Anolis sagrei: one gene and its partners. The protein of the gene in region 2 binds, or shares a complex with, the protein of the main gene of each other region. Links are inferred from orthologs where the notes say so. Each region holds a gene or a part of one and is shown on either strand. Other genes may lie near its edges. The genes, in order: CAST, calpain-2 catalytic subunit and calpain small subunit 1.

Evidence for each region.
Region 1: the proteins of calpain-2 catalytic subunit (region 2) and CAST are in contact, whole or in part, in a crystal structure (PDB 3BOW), measured with the Rattus norvegicus proteins. The link is inferred for Anolis sagrei from reciprocal best matches to the Homo sapiens genes CAPN2 and CAST. Residues at the interface, in NP_058812.1 of Rattus norvegicus: Glu62, Leu63, Ser68, Lys69, Gln99, Gly100, Ala101, Leu102, Gly103, Trp106, Lys161, Asp162, Leu165, Leu166, His169, Ser196, Gly197, Gly198, Thr200, Ser241, Asp243, Ile244, Thr245, Asp249, Ser250, Glu251, Ala252, Val253, Val259, Lys260; in NP_445747.2 of Rattus norvegicus: Glu571, Leu572, Asp573, Ala575, Leu576, Asp577, Glu578, Leu579, Ser580, Ser582, Leu583, Gly584, Gln585, Arg586, Gln587, Pro588, Leu596, Asp597, Asp598, Lys599, Val600, Lys601, Glu602, Lys603, Ile604, Lys605, Ala606, Glu607, His608, Ser609.
Region 3: the proteins of calpain-2 catalytic subunit (region 2) and calpain small subunit 1 are in contact, whole or in part, in a crystal structure (PDB 1KFU), measured with the Homo sapiens proteins. The link is inferred for Anolis sagrei from reciprocal best matches to the Homo sapiens genes CAPN2 and CAPNS1. Residues at the interface, in NP_001739.3 of Homo sapiens: Ala2, Gly3, Ile4, Ala5, Lys7, Leu8, Ala9, Arg12, Glu13, Glu16, Phe60, Arg366, Arg416, Arg417, Arg418, Arg420, Asp494, Ile516, Phe551, Glu575, Lys578, Val581, Asp582, Asp585, Gly588, Ser589, Gly590, Gln641, Leu642, Gln644; in NP_001003962.1 of Homo sapiens: Thr85, His86, Ser88, Asp111, Asp112, Met113, Glu114, Ser116, Thr118, Asp142, Arg145, Ser146, Ala149, Val150, Met151, Asp152, Ser153, Asp154, Thr155, Thr156, Gly157, Gly160, Phe161, Glu163, Asn206, His208, Leu209, Met212, Ile213, Arg215.

The regions. Positions count from the first base shown.
Region 1 is NC_090022.1:252,934,969-252,945,411, reverse strand, and holds the start of CAST (calpastatin), read left to right. Parts: upstream 1-6,096; 5' UTR 6,097-6,380; coding exon 6,381-6,431; intron 6,432-10,443.
Region 2 is NC_090021.1:38,502,824-38,513,129, forward strand, and holds the start of calpain-2 catalytic subunit, read left to right. Parts: upstream 1-5,664; 5' UTR 5,665-5,771; coding exon 5,772-6,008; intron 6,009-10,111; coding exon 10,112-10,181; intron 10,182-10,306. UniProt on the Homo sapiens protein: Calcium-regulated non-lysosomal thiol-protease which catalyzes limited proteolysis of substrates involved in cytoskeletal remodeling and signal transduction. Proteolytically cleaves MYOC at 'Arg-226'.
Region 3 is NC_090035.1:78,028,942-78,039,809, forward strand, and holds the start of calpain small subunit 1, read left to right. Parts: upstream 1-6,269; 5' UTR 6,270-6,397; intron 6,398-10,868. UniProt on the Homo sapiens protein: Regulatory subunit of the calcium-regulated non-lysosomal thiol-protease which catalyzes limited proteolysis of substrates involved in cytoskeletal remodeling and signal transduction. Essential for embryonic development.

The DNA of each region.
Region 1 (10,443 bases), on a different chromosome or scaffold from region 2:
AAACTGTTATGTTTATTCATATCATGATCAGATCACCATGCTCAATATATCCCATATGCATGGGGGTATTGGGGTAACGATACAAAAGGTTTGCTAGGGCAGACCCTCTTTCACTCAGACTCAGCCCCCCTGAACCAAACTCAGCCCCCCCCCCCCGCCCTGAAACAAAATTCTGGCTACGGGCCTGTGACTGATTCATGCTAACTGGAGTCTTGCCAAAAAACAAAGCGGCCATGATGTTTGCCCTACAGTCTGAAGGCAGAGTAATGCTAAGGCCACCAGAGATTTCTGCAGCCCTTTGGCAAAACCACCAAGAGAAGCCAATGTATATACACATTCATTAATCAGTCATCATTACAGGAATAATTAAATATATGCTACTGTTACATAACATTCATTGAAAAATAAAGAATTTGCATAAGGTAGCAGAATCTATCAGTGGTTCCCAACCTGTGGATCCCCAGGTGTTTTGGCCTACAACACTCAGAAATCCCAGTCAGGTTACCATCTGTTAAGATTTCTGGGAGTTCAAAGTCAAAATATCTGGGGACTCACAGGTTGAGAACCACTACTCTATATCATGAATTGTTTTCAACAAAAATATCCATTTTGGCTACCTGTATCTATGTACTCTCTTAGCAGACTCCTTTTAATCAAAAGTCCTATTCGAGTTCTCTTATTTATGAGCTCTATCTAGGACAATTGGAATAATTTAAAAAGTACCCATTCCTTATAGGAAACTGGAGTAGAAGGCAGGTAATGCATATCACACTCTGTTCCTAATCTGCAAGATAAAGGGTATTATCCATAACAATGTTTACATTTAGTTACAGTTTTAGAAGGTATTGGATCACAAATCTGTACCCTAAAACACGGTTGCATGTATGTCCAAGATAGCAACTTCTTGGAAGTTGCAGTTTTACAAGGTCTTTAGCTTTCTTCTGCCCAAGAGTACCAGTGCCTCCTCAAATTACAAATCCTATAATTTCATAGTTAAAGTGGTGCCTAACTGCATTAATTCAACAGTGTAGATGCACCACAAGATGACCGTCTTAATATAGTACTATTGATTGATGGCATGCAAGATGGAATTCATCCCAGGAGATCTGGCACCATTCCTCATGTGCTACTTATGCCTGATAGCTTGCAGTCGCCTGCAGCATTGCTCTTGTTGGGAGTTTGGGAACTCAGGTTGTATTAAACCACAGGCCTGTGCTGGGAGTGGTTACTAGAATAATACCTGCATTTCAGCTGAGAATGTACATTTCATCTACACAGGATGCCCTTGCATTTCCTGCTGGGTGACCTTGCATTTGGAATTGTCCCTGCCTGGACATGTGCTTCCCATGGGGACCACCTGGTTTTAAATCCTTGGATTATCTTGACCTGGCTTCTATAGCTATTCCTGAGTTGGTTTTGTCTGAAGTGAAAGAACAGTTCTGACATTTAGACAACTAAGAATTTCATCCTCAAATAAACACCAGACTTAAGTCTGTACTTAAATGTAAGCATCCAGTTTGCCTCACCTCATTTTTATTATAATCTTAAATAATTAGGATTTGAATTTTACTGCCATTTGTCCTCATTTTATCCTCCCTTCCTCTACTTGTGTTTGTGTGCATCTGTCTCTAGTCCACAAAGGTTTATATTAAAATAACACAGTGGTTCTATATACTCATGGCACTTAAATGTGGCAACAAGGCTTACTTTTACATATGTATGTCACAGGGAATTGGATAGATTCTCCAACTGTCCTAATCTAGCATGGACAATCCCAATTATCTGTCTCCCCTTTTCAGCTGCTTCTAAAACATCCTAGATTTTTTTATCTCATTCTGCTCTCCTCCTTTATCTTCAGCTTACTTTGATTGCTAAAAACTGAGTTTCAAATCCAAAAGTAGTTCACATTCAGTCAATTTACAGGGAAAAGAGAAGGAAGGGGAAGAATCTTGCCCTTCCCAGTGGATTCAGGCAAAAGCAAACCGCTGCAACCTTTGTCATCATAAACACACTGTGATGTTTCTCGGCCACATATGTCTTAGTTTTCATCTATGAAAAACTGGAGGATATGGAATTATAGTATTATTCTTAAAGGTATACAAGGGGCTTCTTGTTTTGTTGGACCAAACACAAATGGCCAACCTTCTGAAACATATTTAATTTCAAACATTTTTTCAGTTACTGGAGATAAAAAATATAGTTTCCACTAGAATAATGATTCCCAACCTTTGGTCCTCAAGGTTTTTTGGACTTCAGCTTCCACAGTTCCTAACAGCTGGTAAGCTGGCTGGGATATCTGAGAGTTGAAGTCCAAAACAAGTGAAGGACCAAAGGCTGGGAACTACTGCACTAGAAGAAATCTAGTGTTTATTGTTGTATTGATGTTTTGATGTTAATTAATTGATATTGCTGTTTTAATTGACTAATGATCTGTTTTGTACTGTTGAATTGGTTGTTAACCGCTCTGAGTCGCCTGAGGGCTGAGAAGAGCGGTATACAAGTGTATATTTGTTCATATTTGTTGTGAACCGCTGTGAGTCGCCTTCGGCCTGAGAACAGCGGTATATAAGTAAGGTAAATAAATAAATAAGTAAGTAAGTAAGTAAATAAATAAATAAATCTTCATTGAGAATGGACATTTGGCATACTTGCTTGAGAGCAAAAAGACTACTTTTCTGGTCTAGAAACCAGTGGCTCTAAGGCAGCGTTTCTCAACCTGGGGCTCGGGACCCCTGGGGGGATTGCGAGGGGGTGTCAGAGGGATCGCTAAAGACCATCAGAAAACACAGTATTTTCTGTTGGTTATGGGAGTTCTATGTGGGAATTTTGGCCCAATTCTATTGTTGGTGGGGTGCAGAATGCTCTTTGATTGTAGGTGAACTATAAATCCCAGCAACTACAACTCCCAAATGTCAAGGTCTATTTTCTCCAAACTCCACCAGTGTTCACATTTGGACATATTGAGTATTTGTGCCAAGTTTGGACCAGACCCATCATTGTTTGCATCCACACTGCTCTCTGGATTCAGGTGAACTACAACTCCAAAATTCAAGGTCAATATCCACCAAACCCTACCAGTATTTTCTGTTGGCAGTGAGAACTCCGTATGCCAAGTTTGGTTCAATTCCATCATTGGTAGTGTTCAGAATGCTCTTTTATTGTAGGTTAACTATAAATCCCAGCAACTATAACTCCCAAATGACAAAATCAATCCCTGCCAACCCCATCAATATCCAAATTTGAATGTATTGGGTATTTGTGCCAAATTTGGTCCAGTGAATGAAAATACATCCTGCATATCAGATATTTACATTACATTTCATAATAGTAGCAAAATTACAGTTATGAAGTAGCAATGAAAATAATTTTATGGTTGGGGGTCACCACAACATGAGGAACTGTATTAAGAGGTCACAGCATTAGGAAGGTTGAGAACCACTGCTCTGTCATTTAAGATAAGACTGTCCAGGGAATCCTGAAAGCTTTTCTCCATTTTATTTCATTATTCTTATTGAGGAGAATGAAGCCTTCCTTTCCACATTTTTGCAGCCTTTATAGTAAGGACTAGTATCCTGTGCATTGAACCCTTAGGAATGCAGTATAGTCTAGTTAGACCAGTTGATTGGTGAGATTCAGGCATTGCTTAAAATTGAAATACACACAAAAATACAAGTCATCTGTTTCAAGTAAGGCACACCTTTTCTTCTATTGCCTTCTCTACATTTCTTCACTGTATACCAGTTAATCAGTGCAGTACTTAAGAGCATGAGCTACAGGTTTCAAGTCTCTAATTCAAATTCAACAGTTACATTTGTAGGCAAATTTGTGAAAATCTTTTCCAGTTAATGGCCCAAATCCTTTTGTTTTTGTATTATGATTTGTTGTTCTGTGTTGTTTTGGTTGTTATTATTACAGGTATCGGGTATAATTCTTCAAGAGATCGATATACCATATATACTCGAGTATAAGTCGATTCAAATATAAGCCGAGACACCTAGTTTTACCAAAGAAAATTGGGGAAACGTATTGACTCGGTTATAAGCTGAGTCTGGGAAATGCAGCAGCTACTGGTAAATTTCAAAATAAAAATAGAGACCAATAAAATTACATTAATTGAGGCATCAGCAGGTTAAATGTTTTTGAATATTTACATAAAACTGTAATTTAAGATAAGACTGTCCAGCTCTGATTAAACCATTCTTCTTCTTAAATGTAAATGTGCTTATGTATCCTTCCAATAATAATAATATAAATAATAAATGTAATAAAAATAACAGTAATACAGTAAAATAATGGAAATGTAATAAAAACAGTAAAATACAGTAAAATAATAAATGTAATAATAATAATAGAATAAAATAAGAAATTCAATATAATAATAATAATAATAATAAAGAGTAAAATAACAACAACAGAGTAAAATCATAAATAACATTTACTCGAGTATAAGCCGAGGGGGGCTTTTTCAGCCTAAAAAAAGAGCTGAAATATCCAGCTTATACTTAAATATATACGGCAGTCTTGCTTGCTCTTATTTTTTTCTTGCTCTCTCTCTCTCTCAACAGGAAGGAAATACTCTTCTGCTATTATTCCTCTAGGCTCTCATTAAATAATTGGGAAATTATTGTTTTTATGGCTTAAGTTATTGTTTTATAATTATAACAGAATGCATTAAAATATTTATTGTAAACTGCCTTGGGAATATTTTTTCTAGATGTTCTTTCACTGTGAGAGTCTTCAAAAAGATGCACAGGTTGCCTGTCTGTGTTGGAAATCAATTCAAAATGCCGGCATTAACTTTTATAGTACGCGGGTGGGTCAAAACGTTTTGCCTCCCATGACATAAAAACATTATGAATGAACATATAATAGCAGAGGTTGCTACAGACCATAGCCTGAACTGTCCTCTACACAAAACGACCGTTCAACATAGTCACCATCCATTTTTACACATTTGTGCCATCGTTAACTTTGAACAGGAATCCCATTGTCATTCTCTGCATCAATAGCAACCTCATCATTAGAACCTCATTGTCATTCCCAACATCCAGACTACCCTGATCATTAGACACAATCACAGGCTGAACTCCAACAGTAATAGGCAGTAAGAGCACCTAAAGCTTCGGAGAGCTTCTGTTCAACCATTACAAAGCTCCTTTCTTGGGTGGTGATGGCACAATCATCAGCATAGATTAAACTCTGTTCCATCTGGCAGTGGCTGATCATTTGTGTAAATGTTAAACACTGATGGAACAAGCACGCTTTCAAGGCAGGCCATTCTTCTGTTTTCACTACCTGCTTCTTTGCCTGAAGGGGAAAAAGGAAGGGTCCTGAGCAGGCCTGTAGCCAGGATTTCGATTGGGGGGGGGGGGGGGGGCTGAGTTTTTTTCAAGGGGGAGGGGTTCGGGGGGGCTGAGTCTGACTGAAAGAGGGTCTATTCTAGCAAACCTTTTGTATCATTACCCCAATACCCCCCCCCCCCCATGCATGTGGGATATATTGAGCATGGTGATCAGATCATTATATGAATAAACATAACAGTTTAAATAATGCACCAGTAAGGCCTTTTCGCGAACCACCATGAGCATTTCGGAGGGGGGGGGGGGGCTGAAGCCCCTCAAGCCCCCCCCCCCCCCCCGGCCCGGCTACATGCCTGGTCCTGAGACGGCTGATAGGAATGGTGGGAGTTGAAGTCCAAAACACCTGGAGAGCCGAAGTTTGTCCATGCCTGGTGTAGCTGCACCCTGAGTTAGTGCTTGGCTATGGGAAGCCACACAACAACAGCCATAGAGCAAAAATAACTTGTGTGCTTTGGACTTGTAGGTTGATGCTTCAGACTGTGTGTTCAGACTCTTTATCTACGATTACTGGCTCTAATGATGAGGAAACCTTGTTGTGCCTGATAAGAGAGAGCAGGCCGAAAGCCCGGGCTGGCCAAAGGAGCAATCCGAAGGGCGAGGCGGTTCGGCTCTGTCCCAAAGTTTTGAGTGATAGATGGGCTTTTAAGCTCTCTCCAAACAAGAGGCAACGGAACCTCCCCTAAAAGGGCTCCGGGAGTTTGCCTAAGTCTCAAGCGTGTCTTGGCAAACAAGGAGCCTGGTGCCCAGCCCGCCTTTGGGGGTGTCCTCCTGGCCCTTCCACTCCTCCCTCCGGCCCACGAAACCCGGCGGGCCCCAGGAATGCGGGGCTGGGTGGGAGTTTCTCTCTGCAGGAAGAGGAGGGACTTGGGTGGCTCCGCAGCTGGCCTGGGCACTGGAGGGGAGCGACGGGGGGCTCCGTCGGAAAAGCTGCCTCACCGCCGCTGCCCTCCTCCTCCTCCTCCTCCGCCTCTCCCTTTGGCACCCTAAGCAGGCCCAGAAGAAGGAGCACACGCAGCCACCATGTCGCAGCCCACGAAGGGAAAGAAACACGCCGCCAAGGCTGGCAAGACGGTGAGTGCGAGCGGGGAGGGACGGGGCTCTCCGCGGCTCCTCTTGCGGGGATTTGAAGGCTTTTGTGCCTGTGTCAGAGGCAGAGATCTGCCCACTCGCTGGGCTGGGCTGGGACGGGCAGCGCTCCAAGGCAGAGAACTTGAGTGCGCCTGCACTGCTCAGTTAATGCGCTTCGATACCACTTGAGCTGCCCTGGCTCAGTGCTGTAGGATCGTGGCAGTTGTCTTCCTCTTTTCCCTTCTTCCTCCCTAAACTGCAGGGTGGGCCAAAAGTCCCCAAAGTTAGGTAACTTTTTGAAAACGTTTTCCTGAAAGTTAAATGTCTTAATGCCTAATTATTTCCTATCCATACAATACATTGGGATTGTAAATCTAAAGCAATACATTATTATTATTATTATTATTATTATTATTATTATTCATTTCCAGTATTTCTATCCAGTCTTTTCTCAACTCAGGGCGGCTTACACCGGCAACGATTCAATGCCGCAACAAACAAACAATATAAAGAATTATAACAATAATTTAAAAACCATAAATTGAATTAAAAACAATATAAGCAAGATTGTCAAACCATATAGTCATTAAATAAATAAATAAAGCTGTTACTGAATATTGACATTGCATAACATTGAGTCCTGGCAATTCAAGTAGTGTCAAACTGATTCTACAGCAGGCATGGGCAAACTTCGGCCCTCCGGGTGTTTTGGACTTCAACTCCCACAATTCCAACAGCGTATCAGCTGTTAGGAATTGTGGGAGTTGAAGTCCAAAACACCCAGAGGGCCGAAGTTTGCCCACGCCTGTTTTACAGTGTAATAAATGCATCCCTAAATGCATGTTATAGGTCAGTGGTTCTCAACCTTCCTAATGCCCTGAACTCTTAATACAGTTCCTCATGTTGTGGCGACTCCCAACCATAAAATTATTTTCATTGCTACTTCATAACTGTAATTTTGCTACTGTTATGAATCGTAATGTAAATATCTGATATGCAGGATATTCACTGAACAAAATTTGGCATAAATACCCGATACGCCCAAATTTGAATACCGGTGTGGTTGGAAAGGGATTGGTTTTGTCATTTGGGAGTTATAGTTGCTGGGATTTATAATTCACCTACAATCAAAGAGCATTTTGAACTCCACCAATGATGACATTGAACCAAACTTGGCACACAGAACTCCCATGACTGACAAAAAATACTGGAAGGGTTTGGTGGGCACCTATTGAAGTTGTAGTTTATCTACATGCAGAGAGCACTGTGGACTCAAGCAATGATGGCTCTGGACCAAACATAGCAAAAATACTCAATATGCACAAATGTGAACACTGGTGCAGTTTGGGGAAAACAGACCTGGACATTTGGGAGTTGTAGTTGCTGGGATTTATAGTTCACCTACAATCAAAGAGCCTCTTGAACCCCACCAATGATAGAATTGGGCCAAACTTCCCACACAGAACTCCCATGACCAACAGAAACTACTGTTTTCCTATGGTCCCCTTTGATACCCCTTCACAACCCCCCAGGGGTCCCAACCCCCCAGCTTGATAAATGCTGTTATAGGTGGTAAATGCATGTTATAGGTGGGTTTGGGGATGTACAGGGCTCTGCATTGTGGAATCTCTCATCTCCTACAATCCTGCACCTAAAGATGTGGGAATGGGGCCCTGTGTCATGTCTATCCATGCCAGATTGAATGTGGAAAGGATGAGGTGACAGACTTCAGGCCCCTCCAGATATTTTGAATGTCCTCTGAACCAAATCCACTGCCTGGATAAAAATTCGCAGATTCCAAAGTTTTGTCCTCCTGGTGCCTTGGACTCCCAAATTCCTGATAATCTTCCAACTGGGCTGGAGCTTCTGGGAGTCCACATTTATTTTTTTAATTATTGTGTCAGAAGCAAATAGAGAATATACTTCAAGTCACTTCTGGTGTGAGAGAATTGACTGTCTGCATGGACGTTGCCCAGGGGACAGCCGGATGTGTTACCATCCTGTGGGAGACTTCTCTCATGTCCCCAGATGGGAAGCTGGGGCTGACAGATTGAAGCTCACTCCATCTCGTGGATTCAAACCACCAACCTTCAGGTCAGCAGTTTGACCCATTGCACCACAGCGGCTCCTTGATGTCCACATCTATGATGACCGTTTAATGCAGTTTGAAGGCAGCTGGATAGTACAGTGTTTATGGTGCATGCCTTGCAGCTCACTTCAAGGGCTTTAAATCAAGGATGCATCTATATCAGGCATGGGCAAACTTGGGCCCTCCAGGTGTTTTGGACTTCAACTCCCACAATTCCTAACAGCCAAGTGGCTGTTAGGAATTGTGGGAGTTGAAGTCCAAAACACCTGGAGGGCCCAAGTTTGCCCATGCTAGATTTGTACAATGAATGCCGTTTGGCTCCACTTGAACTGCTGTTATTCAATGCTGTGGAGTGGTCACTTAGGGAGGCGCTAGCATTCTTGAACCAAGAAAACTATAATTGCCCAGACTGAGCTATGGCTGTTAAAGATGTGTCAAACCGCATTCAATCTACAATGTACAAGATTGCACATACGTAGATGCACCCTGAGATAAGGAAAGTCAGAGCATACTCCGAAATAGAGCCCTTAACACACTTCAGCATGCCTGAGTGTACATCGCATTGCATGGCGAAACCGATTGAGGGCTCTGTCAGTCAGCACAGATTGGCAGAGCCCTCCGCAGTTGTGAAGTCATAGATCTTGTGGATCTTTAACTGGTTCGAGGTCAGCCTCTGCATTGCATATGTGTATAAGCACCATCCAGGCTTAAAAGCTGGACTTCATATGTCGTCATCTGGAAATTGGAACCACTTCCTTCTCGGCTGGTTTCACAGTGGCCTAAGTGGTCAGTGTGGGTGTGCCACCAAGTATCTGGAAGATGAGGCTAGAATAGATCTGATGGGACTCAGTGTCCAAAAAACAAACAGCCCAACAACTGGACAGCTACAAATGTCCTATATTTGTTTGTGTTTTTCTTAAACTCTCATTCGATCTATCTAGTCTGGCCACTGGTAAGTGGATCTGTAGATGAACGTAATGAAATGGGAAAAAAGAACATGGTAGTTCCCACCTTCCTTTTAAGGACTATAGGTGATGATTACTATATGTATATCCAGATCACAGTGAGGTCTTCTACACATTGCTGGGCTTGCTGTTGTATTCCTTGGTCATTTCCAATTTATTATAATTTGATACACAAGATTAGTACACAGCAAACAAGATCGCTATGCTGGCTTTTATATTCGATCACACATTGGACACTTCTCCAGTGTCTAGGGAGGAGCCTTTAACAGCCGCACTAAACTACAAACCCCAAAATTCTGCAGGAGGCCGAAACCGGATTTAAAGTGGATTCATTCTCTAGCTTGATGAAGTAGTAGGATGGCAAATAATGCGTGCAGATCCAAGAAGGGTGGCCTTTTGCAGCTGACAGATTGTAATTTTGTTAGCGCTGATTGTTTTTAAGTGCAGGCCAAGGTCTTTAGGCACTGCACCCAGTGTGCCGATCACCACTGGGACCACTTTTACAGGCTTGTGCCAGAGTTTTTGCATATTGCTGGGTTTGTTGTTGCATTCCTTTAAGTCATTTCCTACTTATTATTATTATTTATTCATTTTTATCCCACTTTTCTCCCATGGGTGGGGACTCAACGCGGCTTATGGTCTATCTATCACATGGTTTTCTTGGCAAGATTTGTTCAGAGAAGGTTTGCCTTTGCCTTCTTCTGAGTCTGAGAGTGTGTCACTTGACCAAGGTCACCCAGTGGTTTTCTAGAGCCAAGTGAGCATTCGAACATTCATGTCCCAGTGTTCTAGTCCAACACCAGCACCATTCCACCATGCTGTTTCTCGCAATTCATTTATTATTTATGTTATTTATTTCATGCATTTCTACCCTGCCCTTCTCCCCCAAAAGGGGACTCAGGGCAGCCTCACACAAGCACCATACAATGCTATCAACATGTAAAACAACCCAAAATACATT
Region 2 (10,306 bases):
ACTCCCATTCAGTCCGGCAATTGCTAGTAAATGTGTGGAGTGTGGTCTACTGATGGATGACTGTGGAATGTTGCTATGTTTTAACTGCGGGAGTGTACCAAGACCATTTTCCCTGGAGGGAAATGGGAGCTGGGCAGAAGGGCTGGAGTATCATTCACTCTAAAATAGATTTCTGTCAAAATGTGTCAAATGTTTTAATGCATGTTAATTAAAATCAATATTTATTTATTTACAAGATATATACCCCGCCCTTCTGACCCTGAAGGGGACTCAGGATGGCTTACGGAACACACATACAGCAAACATTCAATGCAGATTATACAATTAACAAGAACAGACAACACAAACACAACACAAACAGAGGTAAAGGCAGTTTTCCCATCTCATTTCTGGCATCTTTGAGGCTGTGTTAGACTCCAGCTATGCTGGGGTGTGTGTGCTGTCACTCCATCTTCCATGTCGAGGAGCTTTTCTCTGATTTATTTCCTTTAGGGCACCTTTATTACCTCCCTGCTAAAAGTGCTACCTATTTTATCTACTCACATTTCTGCTTTCGACCTGCTAGGTGGGCAGGTGAGCTGGGACTAACAGCTGGTGCTCACCCCAACCCAGGCTCAAACTACTGACTTTCTGATTGGCAGGATTTTTTTTTCTGTTTAGCCTACTGTGCTAAGCCTGGCCCTAAAAAAAAAGCTAACAAAGAAACCACAAACCAATTTAAAATACAATGTTTGACCAATAAAAATACTTGTATCAACTCAATAATAGTTATTAGAGTCTCAATGAATATTGTTCAAGCCATCCTGTTCTAATGATATGAACTGGTAGTAAAATCTAATGCGACATGCCCTGTCTACCTTAACATGAGAAATACATGCTGCTGGAAGGGTGGGAAAGTTTGCAGAGTGAGGTGGCATTGCCTGTTTGTAATGTCTAAAACTGTTCTTATCTTTCCCAATTCTTATTACTTGGAATCAGTGTAGAATAAGGACTCGCGCAAGAGTAATTTCAAAGGGAATAAAATGCAAAGTGTTGATGATGGGAGTTCCATACAGACTACTTTCTTAAAATCTACAAGAGACAGATCTCTGTCTTTTTTTTAAAAAAAGCTGGGGACCATTTTCTCCCATCTCTGGGCTCAATTTCTAAAAACGAAAGTTTATAATTTGCCTATATCCTGTTCTCAACATTATCACTTATTTTAGAAGCTTCAGAACAGTTAGTCTCTCTATTTTGAGAGTATTTGGCAGCTGAAATTGCTAGGAATATTGCAATCACATGGAAAAAATGACTTGAAACAACTTCATGAGTACGGAGAAAAAAATGTAACATTGGAATTTGGTGGCCCCTCCCTTCCCTTCCCTTCCCTTCCCTTCCCTTGCTTTGAGTACAGCTCACGGTGCCAGAGGACAGTGTGGGTATAAGGTCGTGATCTCCTCCTCCACAGCGTCAGAGCTCAAGATGTTGTTGTTACAAAACTATAAAGCAGTGCTATTATGTACTTACAGCACAAGTAAAATGGCATTATTTTGTTGCAGGAATATATGGAATGCTGTGTTTTAAATCTCTCTAGTCCTTCTGCAACCACACACCTGCAAGAGAAGGTTGCAGGTTGTTATTTCTGGATTTCAGATATTTCTGGAGTTCACAGGAAATTTCAGCACAATGGTATAATTACTGTGGAAGGCGGAATGACCTTTGCATCTTTTCTCCAAAAAAAGGGCTACAGGAGAAAAAATATTCAGATCTCCCACAGACAGTAAGTAACAACAAACCAATGCACGAAACCAGGGGTGTCAAACTCATTTTCACTGAGGGCCAATTCAACCTTCAAAGGGTTATTGAATCAACGGACAGAGAATCTATGGATACAAAGGGCCAACTCTCTCTCTCTCTCTCTCTCTCTCTATCTATCTATCTATCTATCTATCTATCTATCTATCTATCTATTAGTCTGTGCTCTTTAGGTTTTACTCAGTTTGGGTCCCCAGATGTTACTGAATTACAACTCCCATCAGTTTTTATTATCGTCAATGTGAACTGGGGATAATGAGAATTGCAAAACAACAGGACTTATTTCTCTGAGGTTGGGAGAAGGTTAAAGGACATTTTAAAGTCAGACATCACATCAACAAGCCTTGTATCTGAATTCAGACCCAACTATCCTGACTAAACAAGACAAACTGCAGCCTTCAAAATAATAATAATAAGTAATAAATAATAAATAATAATAATGGTGATCCCAGTGATCGGCACACTGGATGCAGTGCCTAAAGACCTTGGCCTGCACTTAAATACAATCGGCGCTGTCAAGATAACCATCTGCCAGCTGCAAAAGGCCACCCTACTGGGATCTGCATGCATTATTCACCGATACATCACACAGTCCTAGACACTTGGGAAGTTTCCGAAGTGTGATCCAATACAACAGCCAGCAGAGTGATCTTTTTTGCTGTGGACTCATCTTGTTGTGTTTCAAATAATAACAATAGCACTTTATTTATATTCTGTCCTTCTCCTTGAGGGAATTCAGAGCGGATTACAGCATATAAACAGACACAGGCAAACATGCAATGCCTTGTTACAAAGGCATACAATGAAACACAAATACACAAAGACAAAGGCTTCTCCTTTCATTTCCAGCTCTGGAGGCAGTACTCATCTCTGGCTCTGAGAGAGGTGTTCATTTCCATTTCCAAGCCGAGGAGCCTGCATTGTCCATGGACACCTCCTGGTCATGTAGCCGGCATGACTGTACAGAGTACCTGTTTTTCTTCCTGCTGAGGCATTACCTAGTGACCTACCCACATTTGCATGTTTTTGAACTGCTAGGTTGGCAGGAGCTAGGGCTAACAGCACGAGCTCACCCTGTCTCGCAGATTCAAACTGCCAACCTTCAGGTCAGCAATTCAGCAGCACAAGGGTTGACCCCATTGTGACTGTACTGTATCACAACTCCCATCAGCCGTGGTCATCGTGTCTAATGATGTGAAAAACAGGAATTGTAGTCCAGCATCTGGAAGGCCACATAAAATGACATGGAAGCCCACAAACCTTGGATTTGACACATGTACATTAAATATACTCATTGGAAAGATGGACAGAGATTCTAACCAAATGGGTGCCAACCCCATCAACTTCCAGCAGCATTCAAAGAAAGCTGAGCTTTGCCTTTTGTGGCTGCCCTAAAAGTTAAAGATTTCTGATATTATTTATTCATTAAAACTATTTGTTAAGCATTTTCCTACCTGCCACAGCTCTCAGACTACTGGGAAATGAAATGAAAACATGGCAGTAATGGGATAGTATATCTGCTTACAAATAGGTAAGTAAAGCTTTCAAACAAGGAAGTTACATTACTCCTTGTGGGATGCCTTCCATAAATTTCACTCATTTATTTCCGATTCTTACTTTCTGCATTCACTTTTTTGGGCTGTCCACATGGTGGCTATCCAAATCCTTCTATTCCTCCACTCACATTTTTTCTTCATAGTTATTCCATCTATTCCCAGAATGCAGAAAGTCCAGTTTTTTTAAAAAGGAGAAAGTTACCTACCTTGGTCCAAGAAGGAAAAATAAAAATAAGAATTCTATATGACTCAAATGCTAACTAACACACAACATGCTTTATACATAATGTTATGAAATGTAAGCCCATTATACACTGTCATATAACATCCATCTTATCTGCTTTGAACTGGATTATATGGCAGTATAGACTCATATAATCCAGTTCAAAAATAGTATGGATTATCCGATTTGATAATCTGGATTATATGGCAGTGTAGAAGGGGTTGTAGTGACATAGAAGTGCCCAGACATTGCACTTGTGTTACTGTGTTACTGCCTGAGGGGAAAGTCCATGTATCTCTTATCTACAGTATATGAAAACATATAATAAATAGCCTGAAAAAACTCCAAAAGAACCTTTTTTTCCCCATGTAAATATACTGGAACACCAAGATTTGAAAATATGTAAGTATATTGTTGAAGGCTTTCATGGCCGGAATCACTGGGTTGTTGTAGGTTTTTTGGACTATATGGTCATGTTCTAGAAGCATTCTCTCCTGATGTTTCACCTGCATATATGGCAGGCATCCTCAGAGGTTATGAGGTTGACCCTGATACCCAAATGCCTGGTCCCAGAACCATGACTTCAGCTTCTTCCTAAAGGAAAGGAGAGATGGAGCTGACCTAACTTCACTAGGAAGCATGTTCCAAGAGCGGGGAGCCACCACCAAGAAGGCCCTGTCTCTCATCCCTGCCAAACGCATTTGCGACAAAGGCGGGACCGAGAGCAGGGCCTCCCTGGATGATCTTAAACTCCAAGGTGGGACATCCATAGCATTGAGCCATGGCAGTTAAGTGGTGTCAAACTGCATGGTGTACCTTTAATCTGCCATGGCTCAATGCTATGGAATCATGGGATTGATAGTTTGGGGAAGCACAGCAGCACTCTTTGGCAGGGATGGCTAAAAACCTTGCATAACTACAACTTTCAAAATTCCATAGCAGCTATAGTAGAGGTCAAATTACATTACTTTCACAGTTTGCCATAGCTGACCCCCCAGTGGTGCAGTGGGTTAAACCGCTGAGCTGCTGAGCTCGTTGACCAAAAGGTCGCAGGTTCGAATCTGGGGAGCGGCATGAGCTTCCGCTGTCAGCCCCAGCTTCTTGCAACCAAGCAGTTCAAAAACATGCAAATATGAGTAGCTCAATAGGTACTGCTCCGGCGGAAAGGGAACAGCACTCCATGCAGTCATGCTGGCCACATGACCTTGGAGGTGTCTACAGACAATGCTGGCTCTTTGGCTTAGAAATGGGGATGAGCACCACCCCCAGTTGGACATGACTGGACTTAATGTGAGGGGAAAACCATTGTTCTGTGAGGCACTATCCCTTTTTGCCTGAGAAGGCTGAAGACCTTAAAGCAAGCATGGGCCAATTTCGGCCCTGGAGGTGTTTTGGACTTCAACTCAGAATCTGCTTCTTGGAGTTCCTACCAAGATCAGGAAAATTACATTCAAAGCACCCTCGACAGATGGCCATCCAGCCTTTGTTTAAAAGCCTCCAAAGAAGGAGCCTCCACTATACTCCGAGGCAGAGAGTTCCCCTGCTGAACAGCTCTCACAGTCAGGAAGTTCTTCCCAATGTTCAGATGGAATCTCCTTTCTGGTAGCTTGAAGCCATTGTTCTGTGTCCTAGTCTCCAGGGCAGCAGAAAACAAGCTTGCTCCCTCCTCCCTATGACTTCCCCTCACATATTTATATATGGCTGTCATGTCTCCTCTCAGCCTTCTCTTCTTCAGGCTAAACATGCCCAGCTCCTTAAGCCGCTCCTCATAGGGCTTGTTCTCCAGACCCTTGATCATTTTAGTCGCCCTCCTCTGGACACATTCCAGCTTGTCAATATCTCTTGTCAATTGTGGTGCCCAGAATTGGACACAATATCCCAATAATCCCACAATTCCTAAGAGGCTTTGGGAATTGAAGTCCAAAACACCTGCAGGGCCAAAGTTCGCCCATGCCTGCCCTAAAGTCTCCAGGATAATTCCACAGCATTGCGCCAGGGCAGTTCAAGCGGCATCAAACCGCATTAACTCTCCAGTGTGAAGGCATCCGTGAGGGCACCTCCCCGCCCCAGGCGAGGAGATTTCCCCTCGTTGCGATGAATCACCATCCGGCTGGGAGGGATTCTTCTCTCTGGACACTTGGCAGAGGAGTTGCAGCTGAGGGCGGGCATTCCTCCTTCGGCCGGGGCGAGCCACCATCATGTCTGGGATCGCAGCGAAAGTGGCCAAAGACCGGGCGGTGGCCCAAGGGCTGGGCTCCAACCAGAAGGCGGTCAAGTACCTCCGGCAGGACTTCGGGGCGCTCAGGGACGAGTGCCTGGAGGCCGGGAAGCTCTTCCAGGACCCCTCCTTCCCCGCCGGGCCCCCCGCCCTGGGCTTCAAGGAGCTGGGACCCCACTCCGCCAAGACCAAGGGCATCGTCTGGAAGAGGCCCACGGTAGGAGGGAGCAAGGGAGGGAAGGGGCCGGGAAGGAAACTTTTGGGGGCACACCTCCATTCTGTGGGATCCTGGGAGATGGAGTTTGGAGAGGCACCAGCCCTCTTCCGCAGAGAAGGATAAAGAACTCGAGTAGACTACATGTTTGTTTTGTTTTGTTTCTTCGTGTCAGGAGTGACTTGAGAAACTGCAAGTCGCTTCTGGTGTGAGAGAATTGGCCGTCTGCAAGGACGTTGCCCAGGAGACGCCCTGATGCTCTGATCTTTTACCATCCTTGTGGGAGGCTTCTCTCATGTCCCCGCAAGAGGAGGCGGAGCTGACAGAGGGAGCTCATCCGCCCTATCCCCAAATTCGAACCTACAACCTGTCGGTCTTCGGGGCTCCTAAAGACCTGGTGAAAATATAGCATTGAGCCATGGCATTTCAAATGGTATTAATCCTACCAGGAATGGGCAAACTTGAGCCCTCCCTTCAGGTGTTTTGGACTTCAACTCCCACCATTCCTAACAGCCTCAGGCCCCTTCTTTTTTCCCCTCAGCCACTTAAGGTTGGGCCCTCCCTCCAGGTGTTTTGGACTTCCCACCCTCCCTAATAGCCTCAGGCCCCTTCCTTTTCCCCCCTCAGTCACTTAAGCTTGGGCCCTCCCTCCAGGTGTTTTGGACTTCAACTCCCACCATTCCTAACAGCCTCAGGCCCCTTCCTTTTCCCGCTCAACCGCGTAAACTTGGGCTCACACTCCAGGTGTTTTGGACTTCAACTCCCACCATTCCTAAAGAGCCTGCGACTGTTAGGAATTGTCTTCAAGCCACTTCTGACTTATGGCAACTTATGAGGCTGAGAGTGTGTGACCTGCTCCAAGTCACTTTGTGGATTTCCATGGCCAAATGGGAGAGGAAATTGTAGTTTTTAGTGCACAAAGCACTCCAGGCAGTCCTCAAGTTGCGACCAAGTTATGTTTTGTAGGTTTGTTCATAAGTTGAATTTGTATGTAATTCGTAACAGGTAATTTTTTAAAAGTGTATCTCCAGCCAAAAATATACATACATTTTAGCTTTGGATTGCATAGGGAAGGTTTAACATCCCTGTGGTGTTTGTTTTGCTGTCTGCCTCCCTGTTTAGAAGATTTCACCTCACTTTCTGTCCCTTTGATGACTGGATCTTGAAAAATTGGACTTGTGGAATCAAGGGTTGGTGATAGCGTTTCAGTGGAGACGCCTTTTTCCTATGATAATTTCCCCTGGTGGCCCAGCGAGTTAAACCACTGAGCTGCTGAACTTACTGACCGAAAGTTTGGCATTTCGAATCTGGGGAGCAGGGTAAGCTCCCGCTGTTAGGCCCAGCTTCTGCCAACTTCTGCCAACCTAGCAGTTTGAAAACATGCAAATGTGAGTAGATCAATAGGTACCACTTCTGAGGGAAGAGAAGGGCGCTCCATGCAGTCATGCTGGCCACATGACCTTGGAGGCGTCTACGGACAACTCTGGGTCTTCAGCTTAGAAATGGAGTTGAGCACCACCTCCCAGTCGAACACGACTAGACTTCATGTCAGGGAAAACCTTTACTTTTATTTTTAATTCTTTCAGGAGTCAAGTTCCCTTCTTAGGGGTAGATTTATCTTATTTCCTGTTGTTTCACCTCCATTCTTAACTATGAGTCGTTTGTAAGTAGGATGTTTGTAACTTGTGGATTGTCTGTAGATCACACTGTCTTGCCTATTAAATACCCATTGTTTATTTGTTTGTTTCTGTGCCTATCAAGTTCCCTCACTATTACATTTATTTTTCAGTATTCAAACTATGTATCTATCCATCTATCTATCCATCTATCTATCTGTCTATACACACATATACAGACACCACACACATGACACACAACACAGTGGGACTAATCTAGAAGGCTTGAAGACTATTCATTTGTGTACTACAGGTATTACAGAATCGGGGAATGTTACTTTTTGAACCACCACTCTCCAGGTCAATATGGAGTAGAATCATAGAGTTGGAAGTGACCTCATGGACCATCCTGTCCAACCCCCCCTGCCAAGAAGCAGGAACATCAAAATGTCTTGGATTACAAACACCATAATCCCTAACTAGCTTTGGCAGTGCACTGGAATGGTGAAATATGCCCTATATCAGTGCTTATTAATGTATAGAAGTGACTTCTGCAAGATGTTTTGGAACCAGGATATGTTAGCAAGCGTTAAAGATGTTTTTCCAGCTTGACCACTTGCAGCTACCCAGCCATCATAAAATACTCAACTTGCTTTGAACAGGAAAAGTTTAAAAGGCCTAAAACAGGAAAGGTCAATCAGTAAAGATTCTTATCTGTCCACATAATAATTTAGAGATAACAAGCTAATCTTACAGATTTAAAAATCTGATATTTATATAACTCTCCAGATGCTACTAGACTCAAACTCCCAATTGCCGTATCCAGTATAGTAAATACTGAAAAACAATGGTCCAACAATATTCAAGGAGCTAGAGGTTTCCACTTATGTAATTATTATTATTATTATTTGTTTAAAAATCTTACTAGTTGCTTTTCTGCCCATTAAAGCCCATTCCACACAGCTGAATAATATCCCACATTTTCTGCTTTGAACTGGAATATATGGCCGTGTGGACTCAGATAACCCAGCTCAAAACAGACATATTGTGGGATTTTCTGCTTTGATATTTGGGGTTATATGGCTGTGTGGAAGGGCTCTAAGGCTTCCTATACTAGCATCCATGCTCTTCTAGAGATTGTTTGACACATCTAATTAGTATATATGGTTTCCAGAATAAAGACAAATACAGCTATTTATATGCTTCAAACTTTTAATTATAAAGCAAAAGGCGCTTATTTCCTATCTGATGTTGTGTTATTTGGAACAGATGGAAGTATTTTATTTAGTATTCCCAGCAATTTTTAAACAGAATAAGGGACACATTGGGTGCTTTTGAGACTATGGCTTTCAGAATGCTCTGGCATAGTGATGCTTCCATCAGAACATGGAAATATACACATGCTTGAGAGCAGAAGTCAGCCAAGCAGCCAAAACTGCATCAATACACTCTTTGAAGATGCAGAGGCAGTTGAGAAAAGTAGAGACTACTGTTTATTCAAGGAGCTGGGCTCAGTCAGTACAAAGTTTACTTCATGCCTCACATAAGGGCAAAATATTCACATTTCATATGAGGAAATGTTAAAAAATCTGCCAGAGTTTCTAACAGTTCAGAAGACTGACAGCCAACCCCCCCCCCCCCACACACACACACACACACACACACAAAGACAAGTTGTGTCAAAGCAAAATCATGTGGATCCGCAATCATCCTTTCTCTTTTTGATGTCCAGGCCTTTGTAGCAAAATAGCACCTCCAAATGTAAAGAGAAATTATCATTGTGACTTGAGTAGTCCAAACAGTAACTTTGCCAAGGTCTTGAAAACGAAAGGAGGAATCTGTCCAGCTAAATAAGAAGAGTTATGTTTAGTAACTATAGAATGATAACTGACTTTTGGGTGGGAGACTGGAATGGAGTATCTCGAAAGAGGGCCCCTTGTTTCTTCCTTTCAAACAATATTTGCCACCATAACAATTACAGAGAAATATCCAGTTGAAGGGGACCGTGGTGGCACAGCGGGTTCAATTGCAAAGCTGTAGAACTTGCTGACCAGAAGGTTGGCAGTTTGAATCCATGGACAGGGTGAGCTCCCATTGATAGCCCCAGCTTCTGCCAACCTAACAGTTCGAAAACATGCAAATGTGAGTAGATCAATAGGTACCACTCCGGCAGGAAGGTAATGGTGCTCCATGCAGTCATGCCAGCCACATGGCCTCGGAGGTAGCTATGGACAATGTAACTCTTTGGCTTAGAAACGGAGATGAGCACCACTCCCTAGAGTCGGACACAACTGGATTTAATGTCAAGGAGAAACCTTTAGCTTTTTATAGATGCAAGGGTATACATCCACTTATACCTGCAAGCTTATACCATAATATTTCACTGTGCATGAGTACCAACCCCCAAAGTCGGACACAACTGGACTTAATGTCAAGAAGCAGATTGTCTGCATCTTTAAATAAAATATTTCTTATTTCTTCCCTTACCAGGAGTTATGTTCCAATCCTCAATTTATTGTTGGAGGGGCCACTCGGACTGATATCTGCCAGGGAGCTTTAGGTAAGATTGTCCTTGTCACATGAAACATGACATCTGTATTGTGTAAATATTATTTTTCCTGTAACCGATGTACTCTTTTCTATAGCATGCGTATTCCAAATTGTTCACTACCTTTTACTGAGTTT
Region 3 (10,868 bases), on a different chromosome or scaffold from region 2:
AAGAAGAAAGCGCAAAAGCCGGGTTGCAGCTAAACATAAAAAAAACCAAGATTATGGCAACAAGAATGATTGACAACTGGAAAATAGAGGGAGAAACCGTGGAGGCCGTGACAGACTTTGTATTTCTAGGTGCAAAGATTACTGCAGATGCAGACTGTGGCCAGGAAATCAGAAGACGCTTACTTCTTGGGAGGAGAGCAATGTCCAGTCTCGATAAAATAGTGAAGAGTAGAGACATCAGACTGGCAACAAAGATCCGCCTAGTCAAAGCCATGGTATTCCCTGTAGTCACCTACGGATGTGAGAGCTGGACCTTCGGGAAGGCTGAGCGAAGGAAGATCGATGCTTTTGAGCTGTGGTGCTGGAGGAAAGTGCTGAGAGTGCCTTGGACTGCGAGAAGATCCAACCAGTCCATCCTCCAGGAAATAAAGCCCGACTGCTCACTGGAGGGAAAGATACTGGAGACAAAGTTGAAGTACTTTGGCCACATCATGAGGAGACAGGAAAGCCTAGAGAAGACAATTATGCTGGGGAAAGTGGAAGGCAAAAGGAAGAGGGGGCGACCAAGGGCAAGATGGATGGATGGCATCCTTGAAGTGACTGGACTGACCTTGAGGGAGCTGGGGGTGGTAACGGCCGACAGGGAGCTCTGGCGTAGGCTGGTCCATGAGGTCACGAAGAGTCGGAGACGACTGAACGAATGAACAACAACAATTATACTCTATTATATTTTAAGAAATATTATAAATAATATCTAATATATTATTAGTATAACATGATATTAGTATTCTATATTATACTGTATTATATTTTAAGTAATATTATAAATAATATCTAATATATTATTAGTATAGCATGATATTAGCATTATATATTATACTATATTATACAATATATTTTTAGTACAGCATAATATTAGTATTTTATATTATACTATATTGTAAGTAGTATTATAGATAATATCTAATACATTTTTAGTATAGCATAATATTAGTATTATATATTATACTGTATTATATTTTAAGTAATATTATAAATAATATGTAATATATTATTAGTATAACATGATATTACTATTATATATTATACTGTATTATACAATATATTTTAGTACAGCATAATATTAGTATTAAATATTATACTGTATTATTTTATAAGTAGTATTATAGATAATATCTAATACATTATTACTCTATTTATCACTATTTATTATTTACAGCATTTATATTCCGTAACGTTAGTATATAATATTATATTATATACTAATGTAATATTGGTATATTATATATAATACTATTATGTTATAAAATATAATCTATTATATAATATATACAATATATTCCATAATATTAGTATAATATTCCATAATATCAGTATAGCACAATATTAGTATTATCTATTATACAGTATTATATTATTAGTACTATAAATAATATCTAATATATTATTAGTATAGCATAATATTAGTATTATACATTATACTGTATTATAAGTAATATTATAAATAATATCTAATATATTATTAGTATAACATGATATTAATATTATATATTATACCGTATTATTTTATAGGTAGTATTATAGCTAATATCTAATATATTATTAGTATTGTTGTTGTTGTTCATTCGTTCAGTCGTCTCCGACTCTTCGTGACCTCATGGACCAGTCCATGCCAGAGCTCCCTGTCGGCCGTCACCACCCGCAGCCCCTTCCAGGTCAGTCCAGTCACTTCAAGGATGCCATCCATCCATCTTGCCCTTGGTTGGCCCCTCTTCCTTTTGCCTTCCACTTTCCCCAGCATCATTCCCTTCTCTAGGCTTGGCTGTCTCCTCATGATGTGGCCAAAGGACTTCCACTTTGTCTCTCGTCTCCTTCCCTCCAGTGAGCAGCCGGGCTTTCTTTCCTGGAGGATGGACTGGTTGGATCTTCTCGCAGTCCAAGGCACTCTCAGCACTTTCCTCCATCACCACAGCTCAAAAGCATCTCTCGTCCTTCGCTCAGCCTTCCCTCAGGTCCAGCTCTCACCTCCATAGGTGACTACAGGGAAGACCATGGCTTGGACTAGGCAATGGATCTTGGTTGCCAGTCTGATGTCTCTACTCTTGACTATTTTATCGAGATTGGACATTGCTCTCCTTCCCAAGAAGGAAGCATCTCCTGATTTCCTGGCCACAGTCTGCATCTGCACTCATCTTTGCGCCTAGAATATTATTAGTATAGCATAATATTAGTATTATATATTACACTGTATTATATTATAAGTAGTGTTATAGATAATATCTAATACATTATTAGTATAGCATAATATTAGTATTATATATTTTACTGTTTTATATTATAAGTAGTATTATAAATAATATCTACTATATTATTAGTATAACATGATATTAGTATTATATATTATACTGTATTATAAGTAGTATTATAAATATCTAAGATATTATTAGTAAAACATAATTTTAATATTGTATGTTATACTGTATTATATTATAAGTAGTTTTATAGATAATATCTAATATATTATTAGTATACCATAATATTAGTATTATACATTATACTGTATTATAAGTAATATTATGAATAATATCTAATATATTATTAGTATAACATGATATTAATATTATAGATTATACTGTATTATAAGTAGTGTTATAAATATCTAAAATACTATTAGTAAAACATAATTTTAGTATTGTATATTATACTGTATTATATTATATTATAGATAATATGTAACATTAGTATAGCATAACATTAGTATTACATATTATTGCGTTATATTATTACATTGCAATATTATTAGTAATATTATATCTATTAGTATTATATCGCAATGTTATTCTTTCTATATGTTATATTATGTTGCAATATTATTACATTGCAATATTATTAGTAACATTATATCTATTCGTATTATTACATTACAATGTTATTCTTTCTATATATTATTATATTAGGTTGCAATATTATTAATATTGTATAGCATGTATAATATATTATTATATAATATTATTATTATATATTATGTATATGGATTTGAGGCTTCTCTACCAAAGAATCCCAGGATTCTATGGAACGGAGGCATTGGAAGTTAAACCGGATTCAATCTGCATCAATTCCACAGTGTAGATGCACACACCTCCTGGAGTCATATTTCCTGCAATTGGGTGTGCCTTCCCCTTTCCTTTCTCTGGGGCCTTGACACAGAAGCATTCCTTTGATCTGAATCAGACTGGCCTGGGATTTTTTCTCGGCCTCTGGAGCTGAAGATCCTTTTCATCCCAAACTGGCAAAGCAGGTTCAAAACCAGGAAGAGCTGCAAGAAATATATATATATTTGCAGAAGATCAATGGAGCAAGACCTTTCTCCGCCTTAGATAAACTATGGGGAACAGAGGCTGGGGCCCCTTCTACACTGCCATATACAATGCAGAGTATCTGCATTGAACTGGAGTATTCGGCAGTGTAGACTAGACATGGGCCAATTTATGCCCTCCAGGAGTTTTGGACTTCAACTCTCCATTCCTATTGTAGAACTACAACTCCCAGGATTCAATACTATTGAGCCCTGGGAGTTGAAATAATATATAATTACTAGCTGTCCCCTGCCACGTGTTGCTGTGGCCCAGTCTGTGTATATGTGTTTGTATGTGTATTTATTTGTGTATATGTGTATATATGTGGTTTTGTGCATGCATTGTAATGTATTTCTTACTTTTTGGTTTTTTAAGTCCCTTCTATTGTGTTTTTCAGTGTTTTTATGAGTGATGGTCACTCGTTGGCCTGAGAGGTGTCATGTGTCCAAATTTGGTGTCAAATCATCCAGTGGTTTTTGAGTTACATTAATCCCACAAACAATCATTACATTTTTATTTATATAGATGCCCCCCCCTCTATATATAGAGAGAGGGGGGGGGGCATCTATATAAATATACACACTTTATTTATGTATTTATTTACAGCTTTTATATTCCGCCCTCCTCACCCCGCAGGGGACTCAGGGTGGATTACAGTGTACACATATATGGCAAACATTCAATGCCAATTTTTGACATACAAACATATACAGACATACACAGAGGCTATTTAACTTTTTCTGGCCGCCAGGGAGCTGTCGCTTTCCTCGTCCATCTGCGACGCTGATGAAGCACTTCCGCATTCCCCGCATGTTTCCCCGCTGGAATGCTTTGCTGGAGTCTTCTTTATGGCCTCATAAATCAGTTAATTTAGCCTCCCCACACTTTTAAGGTGGTACCTTATTTTCCTACTTGACAGATGCAACTGTCTTTCGGGTTGCAAAGGTCGACAACAGGCTACACACAATTTGTTGGAAACCCACTCCAACCCGGGCTGGCTTCGAACTCATGACCTTTTGGTCAGAGTGATCTTAATGCAGCTGACACTCAGCCAGCTGCGCCACAATAAAAAAAAAGTTAAATAGCCTCTGTATATGTTCGTATGTCAAAAATTGTCATTGAATGTTTGCCCTATATGTGTACCCTGTAATCCGCCCTGAGTCCCCTGCGGGGTGAGAAGGGCGGAATATAAAAGCTGTAAATAAATTAAATAAATAGTTTTCTCAAGTTTGCTCCAAAGTCTATCTATTTATCTATCTATCTATCTATATTGTGTATGTGTGTGTGTGTATTATATATGTGTGTGTGTGTGTGTATGTGCGTATATTATCTATATAAATGTGTGGGAGTTGAAGTCCAAAACTCCTGGAGAGCCCCAGTTTGTCCATTCCTGTTGTAGAACTACAGCTCCCAGGATTCAATACTATTGAGCCCTGTGATTTGAAATAATATATAATTACTAGCTGTCCCTTGCCACGTGTTGCTGTGGCCCAGTCTGTGTATATGTGTTTTCTGTGTGTATACACATTTTACATATATTATATGTGTGTATGTGTGTATACACATATGCATTTTATTGTTTGCACGGCTCTCCTAACAGCATGAAGCCAAAACATAAAATGCATACAATCCAATGCATAGATCGAACACACGACATCAGAAACAGGGTACGAATATCAATGTATAGAGTTGCAATGCAATGCAGATTCAAAACTCATGATGGGTATCATTGGTACCAAAAACAAAACAAAACCGGCATCAAACTGCATTAATTCTGCAGTGGAGACAGGCTTTGGATTCTGAGGCCTGTTTCCTTTAACTTCAATAGAGATAGGGATCTATTCAAATGTGCATTCTTTGTCCTCTTCCTTTCTCTCTCTCTGCTGAATCATAGCTGGCATCCCCCCCCCCCCCCAGTATTCATTTATGCAAATGATGCAGAGCGTAAATAAGGGAAGGAATTGAGAATTGGAAGAACAAACGGTGCATCTATCAACAGGGTTGAGGAACTGCCAGGGCTCAATGCGAGGGCATCTCTGGAAGTTGCACTTTGCAATCGTTGGCGGAGAAGGTGAACAGCCTTGTCAAACTACAACTCTCAGGGAATGCCGTGACAGTCAAACTACAACTCCCAGGGGTGCCATAAATGTCAAACTATAACTTCGAGGGATACCATAACAAACTAAAACTCCCAGATAAACCATAACACTGAAACAACAACTCCTGGAATGCCGTAACACTCAAACTACAACTCCCGGGATGCCATAAGAATCGAACTACAACTCCCAGGGATGCCATAACAAGCTACAACTCTCAAGGATAACATAACACTAAAACTACAACTCCCGGGATGCCATAACAGTCTAACTACATCTCTCGGGGACACCATAATAGTCAAGGACAACTCCCATGATGCCACAAATGCCAAACCATAACACTTAGGATACCTTAACAGTCAAACGATAACTTTTGGGATGCCATAATAATCACACTACAACTCAGGGATGTCATAAATGCCAAACTACAACTCTTAGGGATGCCATAACAGTCAAACTACATCTCCCAGGGATATCATAAATGCCAAACTACAACTCCTAGGGATGCCATAACAAGCAACAACGCCCAGGGATGCCGTAACAGTCAAACTACAAATCCCAGAAAGTCAAACTCCAACTCCCAGGGATGCCCTAACAGCCAAACTACAAATCCCAGAAAGTCAAACTACAACTCCCAGGGATGCCCTAACAGCCAAACTACAAATCCCAGAAAGCCAACCTCCAACTCCCAGGGATGCCCTAACAGTCAAACTGCAAATCCCAGAAAGTCAAACTACAACTCCCAGGGATGCCCTAAGAGTCAAAGGAATGATAACCGGCGGGCGCTAGGACCGCGCGGGAGCCTGGGGAAGGCTTCCCCTCTGCATTGCCTGCCTGCCTTCCTCTCGGGCGTGGTGGATCCCGCAGCAGTCGATTCCTCGGAAAGGAAGCCAGCCTGCCTGCCCGGAAAGGAAGAAGCAGCAACCAAGAGCCGCTCGGAATCGGGTAAGCGGGGGAAAGGGAAAGATCCCACACCCTTAACCACATTTTCCCTCTCCTCCAGTTGGGATCCATAGATCTCCTAAGGGATCCCCTCCCATGAGAGTAGAAGGAAGGAATCCACTTCCTCTGCTGGGCCCAATTCGAGTCTCCCTTCCCTTATTTTTTTTAAGAGATCATGGGATCTTATTCCTTCCCTTTTATGATTATTTTCATATATATTTTAAAATATAGGGATCCCATTGGGATCCTTTTTTCCCATCCACTTTGGGGCCTCTTGGTGGGATCTTTATTCTCTCCGCCCCCCCTCCCCACACGTTGCTACTTTCCGCTATAAAACTCCGTGCCAAGTTCCTAAGAGATCTTTTCCTCCCTTTTCGCTCAAGATCTAGTGGATCCCACTGGATCCCTTATTCTCTTCCCCCCTCCCCGTTGCTACTTTCCGCTATAAAACTCCATGCCAAGTTCCTAAGAGATCTTTTCCTCCCCTTTCGCTCAAGATCTAGTGGATCCCACTGGATCCCTTATTCTCTTCCCCCCTCCCCGTTGCTACTTTCCACCATAAAACTCCGTGCCAAGTTTCTAAGAGATCTTTTCCTCCCTTTTCACTCAAGATATAGTGGATCCACTGGATCCCTTATTCTCTTCCCCCCTCCCCGTTGCTACTTTCCGCTATAAAACTCCGTGCCAAGTTCCTAAGAGATCTTTTCCTCCCTTTTCGCTCAAGGTCTAGTGGATCCACTGGATCCCCACACGGGGGGGGGGGGTGGTGTCTACTGGATCAAACTTTCAAGAGAGATCTCTGTTCCCCCTCTACTGGTGCCTCCCTTTCACTCCAACTCTTCTGTACCCATATGGGATCAACTGGATCTCCGTGGGTCAACTGGATCCAGTTCCTTTTTTCTAATGGCCAACTGTGTATACCACCCTGAGTCGCCTTCGGGCTGAAATGGGCGGGATAGAAATAATGTAAATAAATAAATAATGAAGCCGGATCTACTGAACCAAGTTTCAAAGAGATCCTCGTACCCCTCTGCTGGTTCCTCCTATTTCGCTCCAGACCTACTGGATCTATATGATCCACAGGATTTCTATTGGGGGGGGGGGTCCACAGCATCCAGTTCTTCTTTTCAATGAAACCCACAGATCAAGTTTCAAAGAGATGTTGCCCCCTTTTGCTCCAGATCCACAGGATCTCAGCAAGATCCACATGATCTTCATGGGATCCACTTCATCTCCATAGGTCAGCTGGATCGAATTCTTTTTTCAATGAAGCCAGAGCTACTGGATCAAGTTTCAAAGATATATTTGCCCCCCTCTACTGGCGCCTCCTTTTTTTTGCCACAGACCTACTTGATCCATATGGGATCTTCTGGATCTCCACGTGGTCCATTGGATCCATTTTAATGAAAACCATGGATCTACTGGAGCAAGTTTCAAAGAGATGTTTTCCCTTCCTTTGCTCCAGCTCCACTGGATCTCCCTGTGATCCACTGGATCTCCACAGGATCAACTGTATACCGTTCTTCTTCTAAGGGATTGCCCTCATGTATTTTTTCCACTGCTTCCGCTCCTCCCTTCCCTTCTGCTTCCTCTTCCTGGATCTTTTTTGATATAACACGCCCATTGAGAGAGATCTTAAAGGGGGCATCTACACTGTAGAGCTAATGCGGTTTTGGCACCGCTTGGGCTGCCATGATTCAAGGCTATGGAATCCAGGGAGTTGTCATTTTGGAATTATTATTGATAGAATTATAATTGTGATCAATAGAATCATTACTAGAATTATTATTATTATTAGCATTATTATTACTCTATTAATAGAATATTATTAGAATTATTATTAATTAATAGAGTTATTACTACCTATACCCAGCTTTCTCTCTCCATTTCGCTGCCTCACCAAACTACAACTCCCAAGATGACATAGCATTACTACATTATGACTTTGGATCACCATAAGCAGGATCTACACATTGCAGAATCGATGCAGATTCATATCCCTTGAATGACCATGAATCAATGCTATGGATCCCTGGGATTTGCAATTTGCACCGTTCTGCAGAAAGGCTCCAGAGGCCTTGCAAAACGACAACTCCCAGGAATCCAGAGCAGTGAGTCAGGGCAGCTCGAGTGGTATCAAACTGCAGTGAGTCCCCCTGGTGAGATAGGACGGAATATAAATAAAGTTTTATTATTGTTGTTGTTGTTGTCCAGTGTGGATGGCTCCTTGGCAGAAAATCCTACAGAGAAAAAACTGCAGATCCCAGTTTTTTCTGCAAAGTTGCCATATAATTTTGGAACGAGGAACTAGCCAAACAGAGAGGAATCTGTTGCCAATAAAAAGCAATTAGGGAATTGCAAGCATCTTACTTCCAAATGCCAAAACCCCCTTTGGGGTAGAATAAAGGGTGCATTTACACTGGTTTCTAATTACGCTTGTTTTTTTCCCAATCGCTAATTAATGCCAGCTTATTATTATTATTATTATTATTATCCCCTTTCCCCCCCTCCCAACCGACTAAACCACCTGTTCCTATTCATTCCTAGTTTTCTGCTTCGATGAACATGTTCCAAAGTAAAGCTCAATGCAAACTGTGTGCAAACAGTTGTGTTTTCTTTGTGTGTGGGAGAGACATTCATTGTAATTACACTGAACGATTTCCTTGTCTTGCAACACTTGTGCTTTGAACACGAGACTCTGAAATTTCACTTATGAGATCCATTTTTATTATTAATAATATTATACTATATATTATTATTATACTGACACCACAGTATGTCACAGTAATATTATTATTATTATTATTATTTATATTACACTATATATTATTATTTATTAGTAGCTTGGGCACAAAATGTATAAGGTTATTATTATTATTATTATTATTATTACACTGACACCACAGTATGTCACAGTAAATGAGATCTATATGCTGGATTTTGTATATTATTATTATTATTATTATTATTTATATTATTATTATTATTAATATTATTATACTATATATTATTATTATTCTGACACCACAATATGTCACATTAAATGAGATCTATATGCTGGATTTTGTATATTATTATTATTATTATTATTATTTATATTATTATTATTATTAATATTATTATACTATATATTATTATTATACTGACACCACAGTATGTCACAATAAACTAGATCTATATGCTGGATTTTGTATATTATTATTATTATTTATATTATTATTATTAATATTATTATACTATATATTATTATTATACTGACACCACAGTATGTCACAATAAACTAGATCTATATGCTGGATTTTGTATATTATTATTATTATTTATATTATTATTATTATTAATATTATTATACTATATATTATTATTATACTGACACCACAGTATGTCACAATAAACTAGATCTATATGCTGGATTTTGTATATTATTATTATTATTTATATTATTATTATTAATATTATTATACTATATATTATTATTATACTGACACCACAGTATGTCACAGTAAATGAGATCTATATGCTGGATTTTTTATATTATTTTTATTATTATTATTATTATTGTTATACTATGTATTATCATTTATATTATTATTAATATTATTATTCATATATTATTATTTATTAGTAGCTTGGGTACAAAATGCATAATGTTATTATTATTATTATTATTTTACTAACACCACAGTATGTCACAGTAAACGAGATCTATATGCTGGATTTTATATATTATTTTTATTATTTATATAATTATTAATAATAATATTATACTATTTATAATAATAATAATTATTATTATTATTATTATTCTGACACCACAGTATGTCACATTAAACTAGATCTATATGCTGGATTTTGTAAATTATTATTATTATTATTTTACTATTATTATTAATATTATACTATATATTATTATTTATATTATTATTTATAATTTCATATATTATTATTATTTATTAGTAGCTTGGGTACAAAATGCATAAGGTTGTGGGTGAACTACAACTCCCGTCATGCCAAGTTAACCCCGAGAAACTCCCATCCGTACTTAAAGTTTGTTACGTTGGGCAAATTTGCACCAGATGCATAACATTGTGTGTGAACTACAATATTTTAAATTTTATCCTGATGCTTTTAGGTTAAGCTGCTTTGAGTCTCCTTTGGGAGAGATAAAGTGGGGTATAAATATAAAATATTATATATATATATATTATATAAAATATAAATATAATATAGATATTATAATAATAGTCTCCTTTGGGAGAGATAAAGTGGGGTATAAATATAATATAAAATATATATTATATAAAATGTAAATATAATATAAATATAATAATAATAGTCTCCTTTGGGAGAGATAAAGCGGGGTATAAATATAATAATATAAAATATAATATATATATTATATAAAATGTAAATATAATACAAATATAATAATAACAGTCTCCTTTGGGAGAGATAAAGCGGGGTATAAATATAA